Mytilus edulis: one gene and its partner. The protein of the gene in region 2 purifies or fractionates together with the protein of the main gene of each other region. This does not show direct contact. Links are inferred from orthologs where the notes say so. Each region holds a gene or a part of one and is shown on either strand. Other genes may lie near its edges.

What was found.
Region 1: the proteins of CDK5 regulatory subunit-associated protein 3-like (region 2) and ubiquitin-fold modifier 1 purify together in Homo sapiens (co-immunoprecipitation; 3 studies listed by BioGRID and IntAct, with this or other methods). This does not show direct contact. The link is inferred for Mytilus edulis from reciprocal best matches to the Homo sapiens genes CDK5RAP3 and UFM1.

Annotation. Positions count from the first base shown.
Region 1 is NC_092351.1:22,722,565-22,733,252, reverse strand, and holds the start of ubiquitin-fold modifier 1, read left to right. Parts: upstream 1-6,184; 5' UTR 6,185-6,288; coding exon 6,289-6,290; intron 6,291-6,376; coding exon 6,377-6,433; intron 6,434-10,688. Other genes in the region: uncharacterized protein, read right to left, coding at 5,814-5,946. UniProt on the Homo sapiens protein: Ubiquitin-like modifier which can be covalently attached via an isopeptide bond to lysine residues of substrate proteins as a monomer or a lysine-linked polymer.
Region 2 is NC_092345.1:53,559,491-53,570,812, reverse strand, and holds the start of CDK5 regulatory subunit-associated protein 3-like, read left to right. Parts: upstream 1-5,962; 5' UTR 5,963-6,059; exon of another isoform or gene 6,060-6,070; intron 6,071-10,150; 5' UTR 10,151-10,169; coding exon 10,170-10,236; intron 10,237-11,305; coding exon 11,306-11,322. Other genes in the region: beta-mannosidase-like, read right to left, coding at 2,018-2,155, 5,530-5,671. UniProt on the Homo sapiens protein: Substrate adapter of E3 ligase complexes mediating ufmylation, the covalent attachment of the ubiquitin-like modifier UFM1 to substrate proteins, and which is involved in various processes, such as ribosome recycling and reticulophagy (also called ER-phagy).

The DNA of each region.
Region 1 (10,688 bases), on a different chromosome or scaffold from region 2:
CTGCAATATCTTTCTTCGTCTTATCGTAAGCAATGATATGTAGCCACCTTAAATGGCCTAATAATATGCAGATGAATTTGCAAAACCGATCAAATGGGTAAATATTGACTATACAAACAAGTTTACTTTGATTTTGCTATTTGATTACGGAATTTCCGTTTAGAATTTTCCTCTGAGTTTTTTTTGGGGGTATTTTACTCTTTTATGGTAACGAAAAGCCTTCAAAGAGCTGAAACCTCCCGAAAAAAGTAGTATTCCATATATGTCTATTCCTTTTTTGAATTCTTCGACGAAAAGAGCATATGTGACGTCAGTTTGCAAAGAACTTTGCTCAAACCTGTGCTAAGGACCGTTTTAAACTTGAAGTGAGGGTAGAGTTTTTGCTATGTGTTGAAACTCTCATTGTCATCTTGAGATGAAGATAAGCAATAACAACACAGATTTTTGTTTTTTTTCTGTTTTTGCTGAGCGTTTACTCATTCTGTGTAATGGTAAGATTCCCCATATCCAATATTCTATTCTATTATGTAAGTTCGATCTTGTTCCTCGTCAGTTTGTCAGTAGGTCGTAAAACATTATGTAAGTTCGATCTTGTTCCTCGTCAGTTTGTCAGTAGGTCGTAAAACATTATGTAAGTTCAATCGTGTTCCTCGTCAGTTTGTCAGTAGGTCGTAAAACATTATGTAAGTTCAATCGTGTTCCTCGTCAGTTTGTCAGTAGGTCGTAAAACATTATGTAAGTTCAATCGTGTTCCTCGTCAGTTTGTCAGTAGGTCGTAAAACATTATGTAAGTTCGATCTTGTTCCTCGTCAGTTTGTCAGTAGGTCGTAAAACATTATGTAAGTTCAATCGTGTTCCTCGTCAGTTTGTCAGTAGGTCGTAAAACATTATGTAAGTTCGATCTTGTTCCTCGTCAGTTTGTCAGTAGGTCGTAAAACATTATGTAAGTTCAATCGTGTTCCTCGTCAGTTTGTCAGTAGGTCGTAAAACATAATGTAAGTTCGATCTTGTTCCTCGTCAATTTGTCAGTAGGTCGTAAAACATTATGTAAGTTCGATCTTGTTCCTCGTCAGTTTGTCAGTAGGTCGTAAAACATTATGTAAGTTCGATCTTGTTCCTCGTCAGTTTGTCAGTAGGTCGTAAAACAAATGAGATTATGTTTGATAAGTTATCTCTGTTTTGATTGAAATCTCCTACCTTGGCAAAATAAAAGTTCGATTTTCATTTTGCTTTGTCATTATCAACAAATATGTAATTCGACATGTCTCAAATACTGTTTAAATTTATATTTGATTTCCTCTCCTAATTCAATTTAAAATGTAATATCTATTTACATGTATAAAAATTGGAGCGAACCACGGTATTATACCGTTGTAAATATCTAGTCCTTTAAGTTATTCGTGACTTTGTCTTTCATGCTAAGATTAAAGGAAACATTAAACAAAACATAGTGTGAGTAAACAAAATATTCAATACCACATGTAAACAGAAGTTAAGTGAATATTTTGCACCTTTTGCTTGTACAAAAATTATTAAAGTTCCTCTTTTACACCAGTATTTTACAGTAACAGACACATACTCGTACTTAGTTAACGGTGTCTGCTGAGAACTCGGCCTCGCTCCGTCAATAGATAAATACAAATCTTCAATGGTGACAGTCTGCAATGTATACCGTGTAAATTTTGATCACCTTTAAATGTTATAAACTGTTATTCGATACATCATTACCTTTTTTCGCAAAATCATACTTGTTTAGCTTAAGGTGGGAACAACTGAAAGGTTATATATATCATTCAAAGGCTCACAAGTCCGAGGATCTATCGATCCCTGCGATGTTTAACCCATAAATATAAGAGAAATTCGTACCGCCAACAGGTTAACACTTATTGTGGTTCACTGAGGGCGAACCCTTTGTTAATTGATAAGTACAAAAAGATTCATCTTTCCTATTGAATAAAGGATGTCATAATTAAAGGCATGTTTTTGATAGCAGATAGCATATCGACGACAGGTACCTACCTACCAGATGGTGATTCCAATCGTTCCGCACAAGGTGTTCACTTCATCTGATATCAATGGGAAAGGACAAGGACAACTTCGAGTCTGGTACATATATAGAAAAAATTGTGTGGTACAGAAAAAAAATATTTGACCGTATTTTATCGTCTAAAGATATATGTCAATTTTACAAAACGGGTGTGATTTTTTTAGTACTTGTTATTGGCATCTCTACAAACGGTCGAAGTCACAGAAAACAGAAACTAGCAAAAATCCGCTATTTTTCAACAGAATGGACCAGTTTGTGTACCATCGGTTTTTCGCCATATTTGAAAAATTTGTGAAACTTGAAGAGATAACCGATTCTTATCACACCTTGCCATTTCACTAGCTTGTAACAATAATTATGAAATGGTCTCAAGTGCTGCGTTTCCAGAAGTTCCTATATCATACATGGATAAAGTATACATGTATACGTACTATAAAACAATAAGTAGCTTTCTATTACAAAAATGTATGAGGGCAACCGATCAACGAGGTAAAATAATAAAAAGGGATTAGGACAGGCGTGTACGCAGCATTTGCTGCTTCAACATTTAAATATTTTCATTTATATTAAAATCCATCTTAACTCGAAATTGGCCCTTTCTATGACTTTTGTAAACTTTAACAGTTCATTAATAACAATCCTTTTCACTAAGCAATTTGGCTAAAACAAGTTATATTAATATATGGTAGTACACCCGATTTCCACATCTGCGAAAACTATTTCAAATGTCAAGTTTCATAATTGTGTTAATTTTAAATTGATAATATAGATGTAAACAAAGATTTGTGACCATATGTTGACTTTACATGTAGCTTATCTCGGATTCGATATCTGTACTTGTAAGAGACATTACGATTGTGATTGAGCTAGTTCATCATGTACGCACACATGTGTATATACTGCAGTTTTGCTTAGGTTTACATAATTACACAATTTTGGAGAAGTTCTGTGTTTATTTCTGTTTTATGTGTCTTCCATTAAAGCTAAATAGTTAGGTGGACTGAAATGAGAATGGCTTTCTTCGTTAAATTGATAACCTCACGTTGTATGTTATGTAATGAAACGCATTTAAGAAAAATACGAGTTGATCCAATTAGCGTTAAAATCTTTATTAATATGCTTCTTTGTATACAATTTTTTGAAATGGTGTTCTTTATGGGTTTTAATATTATAATGCACTATATAACATGTGACCCTCCTTTGTACATAACGCATTACACCCAAAACCACCACAAGTAGATCGCTTGTGTGGCATATTATGAAAAGAAAAACTCGTAAACAATAATTTCTCATACTTCAAAGATAGATGCTTCAAATTGAATATTGTTTGTGGCAAGGATTTTGAAATTTATAATTACATTCATGTTTAGAGCGATAACAACAAAAAAATAAAAATTATTTTGTCAACAAAACTTATCCTAAAACCAGAAAATATCTATTTATAATGCAATTTGTATATTTACTTCATTCTTCATTACGGTTTAAAAAGTCTGTTGTTTTTTCTCTCTACATTTTGTCATAATGGGGGGGGGGGGGGGGGGTTCCGTCGTAATCTGTCTATAGGTTTGGCCGTAATTCGTTTGTCTTTACTTTTTGCAATCATATCAAATCTTCTAAGTTTTATATCTATAAGAGGATTTGCACTATAGTTGTTTATAATAACAAGATGACTTAATCATAATAGGAGTGGAGGAGGGAAGTTTCATTATATATATCTGACTTATTTTCAACTTATTTCAACTTGTTAAGTGCAAAATTGCTTAACATTTACGAATCAACCGGAAAGCATTTATTATGCATGCACGACTGTTGAAAATATCTGACATCAAGAGGTGGGCCAATCTGAAAGTACTTAAATTTGGTGTGGCCTTTTCTATTCGTGTACATGTTAATACGTTTGTAATTTTCCTATCATATCCTATGAAGTTGAAATTTGGTCACAATTTTTGTTAGCTTTTGCTTTGTTAATCACCTTGGGTCCGTAGAATTCACATTTGCTAATGAAATACTTTATCTTGCTTTGTTAATTCCCTTTGGTCCGTAGAATTCACATTGGCTAATGAAATACTTTGTATCTGCTATCCAAATGTTTTAAGTGCAAATTACGTTCTATCTGAAATAACATGTGATTTTTGTCCAAATATTACCATTAAGCTAGATTTTCTTGTAAATTTGTAAAATTTTAAGTGACGAAGCAAATTAAGAATTTAAAGCGGCATGTTTAGTCACCAACTGATTATGTATCTAAAAAAAGAGACTAAACTAAGCAAAGTGAATTCATTGACAATATCTGATGTATAATCTATGAAGTGTTATCTTACAACGATTTCAGTTTCATCGGCTACCGACACAAAATGGTACAGTTTGTTTTGTTATGTTTATGATATGCTCTTTTGGTGCCCAGCAGCACTTGTTACAGTAAATCGTCGACCACTTTTAAATTAATTTAATCCAAACATTCACAGTCAATTGAAACGATGGGAAAACATCAGACTCTTTTAATATAGTTTTTTTTTGTAGCGAAAAGAAGGTTATGCAAATACACTCATCATAGATACTAGGCTTGACATTTTGTATGCCAGACTCACGTTTCGTCTACAAAAGGCTTATCAGTGATACTCAAATAAGAAAATATAAAAATGTAAAAAAAAAACGTTAAAAAGGTAAAGAAATTTAGAATGAGTTTGTCAATTGCTGCCAAAGGTGATGTATCTTTGGATTAGGAAATCATTATATATATATATAGTATTTCAGAAAAAAATGAATACTATACTGAAATTAAGATAGCATGTATATATATACGTTAAGTGCTGGCGGAAAAAAGATTTCAATTTTAATACAGAATTCATCCATATAAAAACTTTTTGGATCGTAGATGGAGGCCAAGGTTAATTATGCCAAAAACAAACAAAATTATGGGGAAAAAATACCAAAATTTACTTTAAAATACGAATAACGTTTATACAAGGGGTCAAAACTTCATAAATTTCAAAGGAAGGTGTCATAAAAATATATTTTTTGTCTTAGTAGTATTTTCAGAAGTATTTCTATGTGAAATTTGTAACTTTTTGGCCCGATTTAAAAAAACATCATAAATTTAGGGCCAATTTTAACCCTTCGTGAACCTTCTCCTTTCTTGGTGTATAAAATCTTGGACGTCCGGGACATCGACAACGGACATTTTACATAACTGATTAAACTATTAAACTAATAAATAGGTCGGTGTCGAAATGAAATGGGTCCTTGTAGAAACCGAGTTTATTTGGTAACTCAGTTCCAATATTGAATTTCTTTTTTCTCCTCAACTTCCAAATGAATACTTCGTCTTTTTCAACATAGATATATTGGTTGATTGATGATTGCTTTACGCCACATCAGCGCAAAAAAAACTATATCATATATATATATATATACATGTATAGACATAATACGTCGAGTATATTCATTTCTTTTGTGACAGAATTCCATCATTTCCAATTGGCATATCAGATTCACATAATCTTGCTTTTCTTATTTTTTTAACAATTAATTTATATGGAAAAAATTGTGTTGCATTATTTTTGTTAATTAAACAGATATATATGTTAAAGACATATATCCAATTGACATAAAAACTGTCAAATTGTTAATGAAAGATAAATGTTTGAAAAATTTTACAATACAAAGTCCGCTGCTGTATTAATAAATAGAATAAGATATCCAGATATTATAACAAAGTGTGAAATACGCCTCTTACAAAAATTACTATTAGTAAAAGAAAACTTACCCAAGAATCCTTCTTCTAAGTCGCCCCTCCTAATTTTATTTTTAATTGATTCATCCGTAGGTCCTAAATAATTTTCTGCATACACATTGCATAAAGTAAATACTGACAAAATTAAAACAAAGTAAAGCCCCATCTCTGCACACCACTGTTCAAGAGATCATTTCTTATCAAGTCACATGATTAAATGCTAATAAAATAAACCTTTCCGCTAGGTGTCGACAACATTGCTGGGATTTCCCTTAGAACAAAAATAGTTTTCATTCAAATAACCGTCTTCTCAAATTAAAGCGTTTATTCAATGCTATTAGACAGAAATAGATATAGAAATTGTTTTATGTTTCCTGATTATAATTAAATGACAAATTAGATCTATTTTATTCAAACAATTAAAACGTTTTATTATTAAGTTTTTTTTTCATTTACGTCAGCGGTATAAGAACCTCGACTTCCGGGATTGCGTGTCACAGCTGTCAAAATGTAAGCATGTGTGTTTATTTCCAGAAATTTGTTTATTTTAGTCATTATTATCACAGTTAATACACAACTTTACTTTCTAATTGTAGGTCTAAAGTTACTTTCAAGATCATTCTGACATCGGATCCAAAACTTCCATACAAAGTGTAAGTTTTACAATATTGACCATTTTTGAAAAAAATCGAAAAGGGTACCGCGTTACATTCGTGTGTTTGAATTCATAATACGCTTAAATAACTTTACCGGTGAAATAATAAAATTCTAAACAATTTTGACAAAATTCATTTTTATCTTTGAAACAATTCATTATTCCCGTGTGTGTACAATTTGTAAGTTGAGTGACAGAGTGTACCATATGTCAACCTGAGACTACAAGTTTCAACACATGATACATGTACATTTATAGAAGCATTAGTGTCTACACATTATCAAGTGATGCGCACTTCATGTTCATAATAGTATACTCCACAATACATGACGTTACTCAGGGCCGTAACTAGGGTTCGAATTCAGGGGAGGCAGGGTTTGGGGGCCGCCGATTGAGGCCCCCGTTAGATATGGGGGTTGGGGGCACAGCCCCCGCCGATTTTTTTCCCCTCAGTTATTGGCTAAAAATGACCTGTCAGTTCTCTTCGATTTCCTTACTTTAAGAAACATCAGTATTGCTTGAACCTGGAAGCAACTCAAACTTATGCAAAAACAAGCTGAGATTGCTGTTCAGAGTGAGCCAAGGCTCCGTCGTGAAGGCCGTACTTTGACCTATAATTGTTAACATTAAATACATTGTGACCGCGGATTTTTTTCTCAAATGATATGGCTAAAAATTACCCGTTTTCTTTCGATTTCCTTACTTTAAGAAAGATCAGTTTTGCTGGATCTTTGGAGAAATTTTCAAGCAAACAATTATTATCTGTATTAAAAGATATTTTTTTTTAAAAACTGGTAAGTTCAAAAAACATATAAAGCAAGATAATAGAACGCAAGATAATTTTTTTATTTATCGAGGATCTTGAATTTCAATATTGTTGAAAGCTGAACAGACATGTATATAACTACAACCAGGGATTTTCTATACTAGTCTAGTATATGCTTAGTATAGTAAGTCCCTGCTACAACGAATGGGAGTGTTTACCTACTAAGGCATTGACCATAAATTATGTTCTCGTACGATCGGGAGTAAAAACGACCCAACAGCTGATTCAGCCGGTAATGAATTTCCGATATCTTAAAAGATTCACAATACAAAAGGAACTTCCTCTGCTTAATTGAGCCCCAAAAGAAATGTGAATAGTTAAGTTATTATTCAAAATTATCGAAAGCAAAGTTTCATATGTGTTCTCGTACAAATACTGACCCCTTCAATACTGAATAACAGACGGACGGCCACACGAAAAAAAACCGGTTCACTTTCGATCAAAAATCAGAAAAATGACAGACACAGTGTAAACTTGTGTTGTTTATAATATAAATTCAACATATGCTTAAAAAAAAAAATGGTGTAGAAAATTCAGGGGAGGCAGTTGCCTCCCCTGCCTCATAGGTAGTTACGGCCCTGTTACTTGTTATAACAATTTGATAAAATGTAACATTTACAGTGGCGGATCCAGAACTTTTCCTAAAGGGGGCCCTCTGACTGACCTAAGGGGGGGCCACTCCAGTCATGTTTCAATGATTCCCTATATAATCAACCAAATTTTTCCCATGAAAGGGGAGCCTAGAGCCCCCCTGGATCCGCCTATGATTTAGATTTAATTTTTAATGTGCTTGTATCTTTGTGTCATATATTTTCGTATCAACCACAGTTCGTTGGTTTCCAATGCATACTCGTACATTGTGGCATGTTTTTCGGTTTCTATATTTTGAACAACAACAACACCACAACGTGAAAAATGTATGATATATTGAAAGTCGCTTTTAAAGACGTAAGAAATAATTAAATTAAATATACCTGTTCAGCCATTTTTATTTAATGTCAAAAATATGTATCACCAGAATAGTTGGTGAGAAAAATTCTGAGGGGTTACATGAAGTATAGCTATATTTTCTGCCTTTGGGACACCATTTCTTCAAGACATGTGACTGTCATGTCATGATGTGTATTTTTGGTCATTTTTATTACAAACAAGCTAGTTAAAATTATCATGGTTCTTATATAAAATGGTTGTTCAAAATCCATTTTATTCAATATTCTATTGGCAATTCTTATTATTCATCCTGGATACATAGAGATGAAAACTGTCTTAATTTCTTACATTTAATCCCATTTTTTGAAATCTGCATTTTATTTAAAAAAAAAATAATGTTCTTTGTAGAAACCCAGTGCAAATCTGAAATAAATCACAATGTAACAATTTCCAGCACATGAAACACCAACCTAAAACTATTTACGAGTTATTTATAGTACTGAAAAGTATTTAATAACTTTTTTTATGATTCAAGCAATCACCAGAACCACAACTTTAGAAAATGCTCATTTCCAGACTTTAAAGTCATTTCCTGACGGTGTACTGATCCAATTTTTAATTCATACGAAAACCTATCTTTATATTACATGTAAAATAAGTTCTCATCACTTGCTCCTCGATTTTTTATATGTTACATGGCGACATATAAAAAATCGAGGAGCAAGTGATGAGAACTTATTTTAATAAGATTGTACGAAAACATATGACACTATTTTTTTTTACATACAAAAATCACAAATTAATCGGAAACAATAAAAAATTGTAGGAAGCCTTGACTTAAAATCTAGAAACCTAATAACATTCGACAGAACATGTTTTTAAAATTTGAGTAAGCACCTGATTAAAAATCCAACAGTGAAAACTGTCAGCAGTGAAACTTGTTATTAGTATGAAAATACATCACACGTCGGATGACATATTACATAGTTTTAACTTAACTAAAAATGCTAATAAATTAATTAGTTACTGGTAGTTTCACATCTATATTTGATTTTATAAAAACATAAATGGTACCCAAGGAAGACACTTAAAAATTAGGTGACCCTCAATAGAGTAGTTTTAGAATTTCACTGTTTAACACATCAGTTTTAGAACAATCACCCAAATGAGTGATACATATATCCCTTGCTCCAATAAGACAAGTTTGTTTTTTTTGCTGATGGAGTAAAGACAACAAATTTTTTTTTTTTACATAAAAGGGGACTTTTCTAAATCTAGTCATGCTGGAAGAGGGGTCTTCTTATATTCAGTATTGAAACATTGATAAAGAAGATTGAAGTCAATGAATTATCCAAAATTCATGGATTTGTTTTGTCAATATACATGTACCTACAAAATCAGATATATATACAACATTGTACAAAGCATATTGTTTTTTGGTAAAAGTTTTTGTAAATAATATAAATATGTGCCATTATGTCAATGTCCATGTTTTCTGTACTAAGAAGTGGTTTAAGAACAAAATTAAAATCATTCTATCAGTCATCATCTAAAGGGGTTGTTCCCATCCTGTCCATTCCTGTTATGGGCTATTTCAAAAAAAATGATGCCTTTCCTTTAAACCTTTGTCAGTCTCTTGTATGATACTATATCTGTAATGTTTTTAGGTCAGATAATGTATTATGATTGGTTGGTCCTAACTACCAAAGATAATAGCAGTATGTGCTCTGTTTAAAAAATATTGTCCAAAATTGTACCTCAAAATGTCAGGAGTGTAACGCTTTTAGTGTGACATCTAGAAGAAAGCATGTGCATTCCTTGATGATATAGAATAAATAAGGGAAGATACAATACCAAACAATATCTTTCATCCAACTATTATATCTTGACTATGATTTCTTATTCAATTCTTCCATATATTTACATTTTTATGAGCCTCATAAGGTAAGTCAAATAAGTTTGTGTAAAAAAAATAATTTGTTAGTAAAAGTCAATATGCTGCCAGAAAATGTCTTTGTAGGTGAAATAACATGTTTCTGTACATCTTGCACGGTTTATTTTTTTTTGTTTAGTATCATAGCTTGGCACAGGTGCATCCAGTTGACCCTGAAGTTCTACTACTGGAATATTATGGTTACAATAAGAGGACTACCCAGGTCTGTCAGGAGTGTAACAACTGGGTTAAGATGTATTTTTTTTAGAAAAAATGTTGTTATAGTTGTTGTTTTTTCTTGAATTTCAGTGAACATTACCTGTTACAGTTTATCAGTAACAAACATGCCATTATTATGGCCTTCATTGCTTTTGTATGCTCAATACTTCAATGTCAGGAGTGTAACACAAAAAAATGCCTTATTTCAATCTTATTAGCAAAGGTAAGTTATTGGAAGAAAAACAAGCTGAAAATTGTTATAAAATGACATTACTACACCTCAGCTTAAGACAGAATACAAGTCTACATCATTACTTTTGAAATTTTTGAACTAGCTTGTTTAAA
Region 2 (11,322 bases):
TTGATCCGAGAGTTTATCAATGAAACTTTTCACCTTCAAGAGATTTTAAATAAATGTAGAGTATTTTAAATTAACAAATGATGTGACTAACAATATACAATTTAGTCTGATAATATTACCAAATGATATCAGAACACAGTTATTCACACCTTATCCACTACCTGAATTCAGTCAAATCCAGGAAAAACAGTTTCTTAGACAACTTCCTGTTAAGGTCAAGCATTGCAAAAACAAAGGTCATCAGCAATGAGCTCAGGGAGAAAAAGTTTGGATGAAGCAATTTTTAAAAGACAAATTAGATTAATTAAATATACTTTGTTTGATGTATTGACGAAGGTTTAAAAATGTCTCTCTGAAAAGTTTTATGCACAATACATTGTTTGAACAGGGCTATATATAGCTTCAACTGGTTTGAAAAAGTTGTGTAATTATAGAACTTATCCAGATTGGAATAAATAGCAATAAGGTGTCTTGAAGAGAATTGTTGTAACAAAAGATTCTGGGGAAATTGCCACACAACTTATATTTGCAAGTTAATTGTGATAAATGATTCAAGAATTTTCAAGTAATATCGAAACAACATAGCCATAGTAGTAGTACCACAAGGCTCATATTTCAATAAGGGTTGTCTACCACTGAAATTTAAATGGTGAAGGCCATGAAGCAGTTAAACCTACCACATGTATACATGTATATTAGACACACAAAAATCAGGTCTCAGTTGCTGTTTTTGATAGTCAGGATTCTACTTTGTCAAAATCATCTCCCCATTACAGCACCTAATTTTTCATTCGTGAAAATGAAATCCATTGAAGAGATGAAATGCTGTCAATCAAGTTGAAAACCAGGAAATTTATCTACATGGCATAATTACAATCCTTACATGACAGTTGTATTTTAAAACACTACAAAGTATCATTTAATGTACTATAAGGCCTTTTCAACTTAAAACTATTGTATGATTGACAACTGGTTGTCAGGGGTAGTTTTTACAATTGTTTAACAAACGCTACAAAGATATTTTAATAGTGATAACAAGGTTGAAATCTTATTACCTTCTTGACCGTAGATAATACACACAAAAAAAGATCTACGGTTTTGAGATTTTTTTCTATTTAATTTCAAAATATCTTGAACATGATGAAAGTCCATATACTGTGGATTCATTATAATTCGTTGAATACCAATTTTCAAGAATTTCATGGGTACAGTTAAACCACAAATTCAACTGTTCAACAATTAACATATTTTCAAAAGGGTTTTGTATACAGAGATTAGCAAAGCCACGTAATCAAATATCTACAAATATGCAAGTTTACAGCAATCTACGAAAATTAATACCCATGAAAATAAATGAATTCACAGTATACTTTAATTTGAGTATAAAGGTGATTATATATATATAATATGGAAAACCTATACTTAATAACTTAATTATGCACCTACACAAACCTTTAAAACTAAATAAAAGCCAAAGAAACAGATGTAAATAATTCAAATATACTTATCGGACCACATATGAATTATCACGTTGTGATTGGTTAAACGCCATCACGTGGTGATCCCCTATGAGACCGTATGGGGTTAGTAAGTTTCATATGGGGTTCATGACACGTTAATGGCGACGTCATCTATTAATGTTGTTTCATTGTTTATTTTTCAACAAAACGACGCAGAAAAAGTCTAGCATCCGATAAATTCATTATACGGTTAAAACTACTGACCCCCTACGGATCCATAGAGGGTGAATAAAATCCATAGGGGACTCGGCCTCTGGCCTCACCCCCTATGGATTTTACTAACCCTCTATGGATCCGTATGGGGTCAGTAGCGAACCATATAACTTATAATGTAGTATGATGTACCAACTTGGCCCCTTTTTCCTTTTCTAATAAATAGTTTCATTTGCTTTGTATACATGGTATAATTCAACTGGATAACAGATGTTTTTGTATTTGTTCTGTTCTTTTTGTATATTTTGAAGAAGAAAAAAACAAAGGCAGAATTAGCTACTTACCTTGAAAACTTTTGGTATAAGACCAGTTATCTTTGGCAATCCATCTATATCTGTCATCGTTGTCTCTGTAGTATGGGTCATCTATTTGGTTATTGTTTATGAGTGAAGTATAGATATTCCCTGGTACTGTACCAAGAACTGTTGAAAGATTATTTGTTTTATAGAAACAAAATTGTAGGTTATCACATTTTATTTATTTGAGTCTCACCAAGATAAACAAGAGTTGTGACCCTTGGTCTGTCAAACTTCTGGTATTGGTTTGAGCTGAACTAAGGGTATCTTGAAATAATCCTTGGGTTTGGCTCACTTTAAATTACAAGAGTCAACTACAACATGTATATAATTATATATACATAAAAAACACTATTCTTAATTAAAAACCAATTGTTGTCTGAACAATTGAATGTCTTTCCACATCAATTTTCATAGTTGTTGAGAAGCAGCTAGTTATTGTTTACTCAAAGTTTAAATTTGCATCAAATCATAAATTTCTTTATACTGATGCGATTATTAAGTGTTTTCTATATACTTAGAGAGAAATAAAGGAGATAGTGTACTACTTCCTGTGCAGTAAATGTTACTTCCGGTCTCATATGATAGCTTCTTTCACTCTGATTCCAAAATATATAGTTTCTATATACATTTGCCTGTAAACCAGGAGAGAATTGGCCACTTCCGGTTGACCAAAGGTCAATTCTAGTCTTTAATGATCAGTCAATGTATTTAAATTACAAAATATATGAATTCTGGGTACTTTTTCTTGAAAAAAGTGCAAAAATTGTTACTTCCAGTCTTCTTAATGTCACTTCCGGTAGTAATTTTTCAAGGTCATACATGTATGTCACCCAACCGTTTTTAAAAGGTCAAATGGCCTTACAATCAAGCAAACATTTTGCACTTGTTCTTTTATACCATCTTCAAAAGAATTGGAGAAAATGCAAAGACAAGTAAAGGAAAAATTGAGGACTCAACCTTGACCTTATTTTCTTTTTTTGGATCAAGAACCTCAAATCAAAAGATCCTAGGTCTCTATCACTTATAGTTTACAAGAAAGGAATACATATCACTTATATCTCAAGCATAAGGGGAAATAACTCTCATATGGAGTGTTCATATGGCTTCGGTCAAGAATAAATCATGTGAAGTATATAATGAGCAATTTCATAAAATAAATTTGTTGCTTTTTTTTTAATGGTTACAGAGGAGATGTAGTCACAAGGAAAACAGTGTTTGGGGAGATAACTCTTACAAAAAAAATTGTTTGTCTTAGCAGGGTGAAATTTTAAAGGGCATGAACTATGCAATACAATATGAAAAATATCTAAGCAACATATTGCGAAACAAATGTTAATCGCAAGAACAAAATAAGGCAGAAGATAATAATCAGAACAAATACAATAGGTCTTTCCACTTTTCTGTGGAAAGACCTAATTAAAATCAGGGGTCTGATCCTTGATTCCAATAATTGTTTTGTCTGAATCATGTATCCCGCTTATGGTTGCCATAATAGCGCATACAATTTCTAGTGTCCTGCCAGACATTTTTTCCTTTTTTCACTCTCAAGAATTTGACTTTCAGGTGTAAGTTTTAGAAAAATAAAAGGATCTTGAGCAAACAATTTATATAAGAACCAAGATAATTTCAACTCGCTTGTTTGTAATAATTATTGCCAAAAAAACACATGACAGTCACGTTTTGAAGATCCTTTGTCTGACAGGTAGAAAATATGGGTATACTTCTTGTAACCACTCAGCATTTTTCACAACTATTCTAGTGATGTGTATTTTGACATTTAATAAAAATGGCTGACCAAGTAATTTTAATTTAATTACTTCTTACATCCTTAAAAGCAACTTCATACCTGCCAACTTTCACGATTTAGGCGTGTACTACACGATTTTGATCCTTTGTCACGATTGCACGATCGTGATCGTGAAAAAAGCTATAAAACACGATTTTGTGAAAATTTACACGAAAAATTTCATTGTTCCCGATTTTGAACTGTGTTCAAGGGAGACAATCGTGTTAGCCGATCAAATTCAGTGTTTCTTGTGATCAAATTAATGAGCCAATCAAAAACGTTTCCTATCAACATGATCAAGATTATTCTAACATGCTAGATTTTCAACTTGTGTTGTAGAATTTTAAAATCTTGAACATGGGTGATTTTTCACCTTCAATGAGATTCTTACACAGATTAAGAATAAAAGCATGGCTGATTGACAAAATTCAATGATGCAGTACTACCATAAAGATAATAAATAGTAGTTTATTCACTAATTTATTGACATTACAATTCAATTACATTACCAAATCATTAAAGTACAATGTACTATTCTTTATTTTATACAAGGACCAAACAAACAGGTAAATGGGGGACTGTTCCTAAGACAAGGGTCATTTGACTATAATAAAAAATAAATTAGAATTTTATTTTTAATTGAAAATGGGAAAATTCATTATATTTGGAAAAACTTTTCTAAATGAGGATTAGGATTCCAATTTTTTTTAGGTCTCAGAACATTTCAAAATTATTGCACATGTGTTGACCATATAATACCAGATAGATCATAAGATGTATACATTTGTAGTTCTTTGGGAAAATTTCTTCAGATAGTATGAATATGTGCTCATTTGTTAAAAAGTGGGTTTTAATGGCCTTACATTGAGGGGTTACCCCTAGCATGTCACCCCTAGGTGTTATTCCCAACTTTATAAAGGTCCTTCTTTGTGCATAATTTTGAATTGGAAAAGCCAACAATCATTTAATATCTTTACACATGAAAATAAATCCTGGTCTTATAGCTACATATTCATCTTTTCTATTGATATAATAACTAGAATCATGCAAATATCCTTAAGAAAAAGGCTTGTAAGCTCATCATACAAATATGACACCTTTTCTAGACCACAAAACAGCACGCGCAAAATACGTCGCAAAGAACTTAACCTTTGAAATTGTTGTCGCGCACTAAAACCCCCATGGGCACTTTCAAAAGTTGGCAGGTATGCAACTTTGAATCTTGCATACATGTGTCACATTGTAGTGTTGTTGTTCATGTTGTTGTTCTACATATAGAAGAAAAACATGCCACAATGTTATGTTTGTGCACTCGAAACTGACGAAATGTGGTTTATAGGAAAACATATGACATACGAAAAAAACATATGAGTCGATATGACACGACGATAATAAGATTTACAATATAATGTGTAATTCAATGCATAACTTTGCAAAAGTAATTGTAATATAATGCATTATTTTGATGCATGTTATTGTAATTCAATGCATGGTTTTGTCAAATTAATTGTGATATAATGCACTACATTGCAATGTAATTGTAATATAATGCACAACATTGTAATATAATTGTAATATAATGCATAACATTGCAATGTAATTCGCCCGATGCCAATATATGGAGCCAATTTTGAGGTTTCAGACATTAATATTTAACTCTTAAATTTGATCATGTTTTTGTTCCACATTTCAAAGACTATATTAAAAGTACCTTTTCCTGGTGAACTGTCATCCCGTCTACTTTCATCAGCTATAACCCATTGTCCGTTTAGATCGATAGTCTGCAACGTTGTATAAGCTTTGTCGATTAAAAGTACAGAATAGAGAAGTAATGCCCTCACCAAGGTAGACATGTCCTTCTATAAAATTTGTTATTGTATCTGAAGGATATCTTTTATCTATTTGGATAATCAAGACGAAAATTCGGCGGGCATCTTGAAATCATGTGACACCAATACGAAAACGAAAATGAAAGTAGCTTGCTAAATTATGTCTTACAATTATATTTTTAAATGGTCACTTCTTTTCAAAATCTATGTGGTTAGTTCCAATTTCATTTATTTTTTTTAAATTTGTTATTTAAATAGTTGCTTTGTTTAATCTATAATTTTTCATAAATATAATTTTATTGCGAAATATTAACCAATAAAACAGACTGTTACTGTCGGGACTGAGGTACTAAAATTGTACAGTTTATATCGGGCAATTCCGTCTAAACAAGCCAACGTGTGTGCTTGACAGGTAAACATCTGGTAGTTAATTATACACCTCTTCTGATTTTTTCCCTGTGTTTATGAGCTTCTATCCGACACATACATTTATTGTCCACATTTTAGTATACTGAAAATAATACGAGGAACTTGTTTCCTGTGATAGAGGAACAAAAATTATTAGTATCAGCATTTTTTTCCCTGATAGTGAATTAACTTATACATGTACACTCATAAAATGTCATTATATTTTACAAAATAATATATGTGTTAGTATTATTTGTCTTTATGTTGGGATCTCCTGTAGTTGGTGATCGCAATACTGGTATACCAGTATTGTGCACAATACTGGTATAAAAATTTTGTACCAGTATTGTATTCCAGTATTGTACCAGTATTGTGTTTTTTTTAAATAAACAATACCTATACCTACAGGTAATTAATATCAATTTTTTTATTAAAGGTGTCACATACATATGCATAATGAAATTAACATATATGACATGACAATTTTACAGGGAATGATTGTAGGTTTAACAGATGATGACATTATTTATGGTACACAGCGATTGTCATTAAAGAAAGTTTTAAATCTTTCTAATGTTTTTTACTTCAGGGAACCCTATATGTACTGTCGCAGCACTTTAACAAACTGTTTACTTTCTTCTATCTATGTTTTCTTTCAGCTTTCTCTTTCCAAGACTCATTGTATATTCTAGTAAATTCTATATTAACATTGCTGTTATACACACACTTCGGATATTGATATTTAGTATTCAGTTTCAGTGGACTTTCTCTTACGCTAATACTAGATTTAATACAAGCTTTTTCAGATAGCACCTGTACAGTTCCTTACTGTCGGTGTGCTTGTCTAGTATTAGTATTTGTACCAGTAGATATATCTGCTACGAATTGTATTGCCCATGGTTATGAATCAACTACTTTAACTACCCTTAACATTCATGTAGACAAACTAGTTAATTTGATAAAAATCAGGTACCGCTATTAAGCAACTTTTTATGTTTAATGGATATTGATATCTTTTTTTGTGATTATTAAGAAACTAAAGACCAACAAATACATATAAAATAGTATTTAGACTAGTAAACATACATGACATATATATTAAAATATCTGTAAAAAAAATATGATATTAAATTGAGAATGGAAATGGGGAATGTGCCAAAGAGACAACAATCCGACCATTGAAAAAAACAACAGCAGAAGGTCACCAACAGGTCTTCAATGTAGCGAGAAATTCCCACACCCGGAGGCGTCCTTCAGCTGGCCCCTAAACAAATATATACTAACATACATGTAAATGATAAATTTACAGTCAGAAAGTGTTAGAGTGTAATAATTTGCTTGAATTTTTTTTCAACATTAAAATTTTGTTAAATAATAACTCAGATAAATTAAATAAGATATAGAAATATGATTAAATGTTTAGCAATTATTATACATGATTAACAATTGTTTATGTTTTATAAATGTATGTAGTACATGCATGAGTTAATTACAATATTCTTTTGTTTATTTGTACAAGTATAATACATTGTTATTTTTTTTTAACTGGTTGTTAAATATGAATATTGATTTCACAATTATCCTCTATAATCTTTTGGAGTTCATTTAATTTCCCTTTGATCTTCAATATCTAATTTTGCTTAAAATTATTTTTTTCATTATTCACCTATATGTAACCTTAAAGTATAGTCAACAATCAGACAATACAACTACAATACTGGTATATCAGTAATGTACCAGTATTGTTGTTTTTTGAAAAAAAGTTACAATACTGGTACAAAATTTTTATACCAGTATTGTACACAATACTGGTATACCAGTATTGCGATCACCAACTACAGGAGTTTACATATTGTGTATTGTAAAACTCATATGCTTGATATTTTATTGAATGAAATATATTATTAGTAGTATTCACGGTGTAGTGGGTCTTATTGGGGTCTAAGCGTGACACGGTATTGCCGATTTTTTGTAAGCGTGACACGTGAAAGTCAAATTATTGTGTTGGGAAAGCAGGAAATGAGGTCTAGCGGGACCCGGGAAATGACAAAAAAATGAGAACTGCTTACGTACATAGTGTAAAAATGTGTAAGCGGGATATGGTAATCTGACAAAATGTTAAGCGGGATCTGGGATCGGAACCCCCCAAATGAGACCCCCGGTGTAGAATGGTAAGGGACTCATCAGGTGTTTTCTGCCTTTCTGCACTAATCAGGTTCAGCAATGGATTTATCAGATTTTATTTCAAGACAGCATGAAACACAATGAGCCACATAACACAAACAAGAAAAACAGATTCGTGTACATGGTGTAGCTCTTAATCAATTCCAGAAAACTTGGTGAATAATGATCTTCAAGCACGAAAACTGATAAAAAAAAATGTAAAAACGTCGTACGAAAATAAGTTTCAACACACGTGTCAAAAAATGTAATAGACTCGTCCACTGGAAAACGAGAATATTGGGTTAATCTGTTGTCATGCATTCCTGTTTTTTTAACCAAATGGCCAATATTTTTTTTTATCTATGAAACAAGAAAATTTCAAATGATTTGTTAATATTCAGTATTTTAACATGATATCACATAATTTGGACAAGTCTATTCCTATGAGATGCTGCATCTTACGGACTGATGACAAATAAGGGAAACAAACTTATTTTTGTAATTGGTTTTAAACTCCGGTTTCGTTCCGCAAAATTATTTGCGCAAACGACATTTCAAGGTCAGTAAGTTTAAACATATTTATTTATAGTGGATTGGGAAACAAGTTTTGCAACTTATATTAATCCCTTTCCACTTTGCGGGTGCGAGTGCTGCCTTGTAGTGGCATTAGCCTGCTCTTTTTCGAAATCTACAAGGGTGTCTTTAACGTGCAAGAGATATGGCTCTCTCTTAACACAGGTCAGCCATTTATCGTCCCCTTCCGACGGACTATCATCGTTTCCTCGAGACTATACTCGCAAATGGTGTCAAGGGAGAGCCGAAAATTCAGTTCCTGAAATTTTCATCCCAGACGGGAATCGAACCAGGAACCTTTGTGTTAGTAGTCCGATGTACTAACTACTACACCACAGCTCTCTGATTATTTTTCAGGGATAATGCATTTGTTAGGGTCGGCGGCATGAAAAGTCAATTTTATTTTTATTCTGAAAATCGGCAAAATCGGGTCAGCGGATCCGTAAACCAACAAAATAAAAAAACATGGCCTTACTGAATGCACATACCTGCCAACCTATGAAACATCTTCCCCTCAGCCATGACAGCTTAGGGGGAGATTATGCGCGAACAACATTTTCAAGTGAAATATATGACCTGTTTATCTATTCATCTACAAAACACAATCATATATAAGAGTTATTGAATATACTTTATTTCTTTAAATATACTTATAACCTGTACAGAATGTGTTGGTTGTTTATTCTTTCTCATCATCTTTGTCATTTGCATCCCATCAGGACAACTTTATTGTATTTGTATTCCATGTGTTCAACCATAATGGTTACATGGTGCAGGTTGTGTATGCACATTTTCATTAAGTTTATCAACAAATGGAAGTTTTTAACGACCTTGACTGGCTATACAGCCCTTGCAGGTCGGTTTTAAGTTAAATACAAAAAATGGACACAAAAACGTACTTAATGTTGACTTGTCATTCAAGGTTAAAATATCCCAAAGCGGGAGATTTTGTAATCCCGCCCGGGAGGGTACCGGCAAGCGTGAGATTTCCTGAATTTCAGCATTTAAGTGGGAGTCTCCTGTTCAAAACGGGAGGGTTGGCAGGTATGAATGCACCAATGATCAATTCCACACAAAACAGGACAACGGGCTGAACACAGTCTGTTTTGTCTATTTATTATTAGCCATGGCGTTGTCAGTATATTTTCTATCTATGAGTTTGACTCTGACCCTCTGGTATCTTTCGTCCCTCTTTCAAAAAGAGAGAACACTTTTCGCTATGATTCTAAAGTTGTGTGAGCCCTTGACCACAGTTCACCATGATAAAAGATTAAAGGCTTTTATAAACCATTGGTACTAGAACAACATTAAGAGTGATATGTGATATTAGTGACAACACATTTTTCTTGTTTCTTTTAGATAACTAAACCAATTCAACATGGCATCAAATTCACAACAGACAGTACAGGCATTACCTATTGATATTCATTACAACAAATTACTTGGTAAGAATTACAATCATTTTTGTCTAGCTTTCAACATTTTGTTGCAGAGGCTAGACATAGTGATCCTATACATTTTACAAGTGTCATCGCACATGTCAATATTTAGATTCAATCTTGGTTTAAGTGTTATTTATACAACAATTACTAAGTCAAACCATCATGGAATGGTATGCAACTTGGACAAATCTTTTTTTATGTTATATAAAAAACAGTATCTAAAGCAAAATTATGAATACATTTTTATTTTTTTTTCCATTTTCCTGTATTTTACAGAGTTCAACATTTTATTCAACACTTAGGTGTTGACATGAATATCAATTATAATCCCAGGAATAGATAACCTTATCCGTATTTGGCACATCTTTTTGGAATTTTTGGTCCTCAATGCTCTTCAACTTTGTATATGTACTTGTTTGGCTTTATAAATATTTAGATCTGAGCGTCACTGGTGAGTCTTATGTAGACGAAACACACTTCTGGCATATTAAATTGTAATCCTGGTACCTTTGATAACTATTTACTGGTGTAAACTGTAAAGAATGTAATACATTTTGTAGTGTTTTGTTTGAAGGCAACTTCTGGTGTAAAAAATACCTCTGAAATGAAAGCTTAAAATTATTACAATTATTAAAAAAAATATATGGTTACTACATTTCTGTACCATTGACTACATACTAAGATGTAATAAGTAAAGGGAGATCATTTGCTTCTATTGGTTTTCCAAATATCAGTGAAAAATTTCATATGATATGTTGTTTCACACTGATTCTGAAAATATATTGGTTTTAGGCATCTTTACATGAAAAAAATGGCTACTTCCCTTTTAAACATGATTTTTGGAAGGTCAGATAACAATGTATGTCTTCTAACCTAGTGCATAGATGTTTTTCAACCAGAGCATCAAATTGACCTTTGACCTTGACATTATTTTTCAAAGTCTCAATTTAAAATGTCATAGGTCTAAAATGTGTATGCGTTAAAAATGAATCCTGCCAAATCGCTTTTTTCTTAGAAGGCCATGTTTTATATTTTATTAAATAATCTGTTTGAACTATTCCTATATTCACAGATTGGCTGATAAATAGA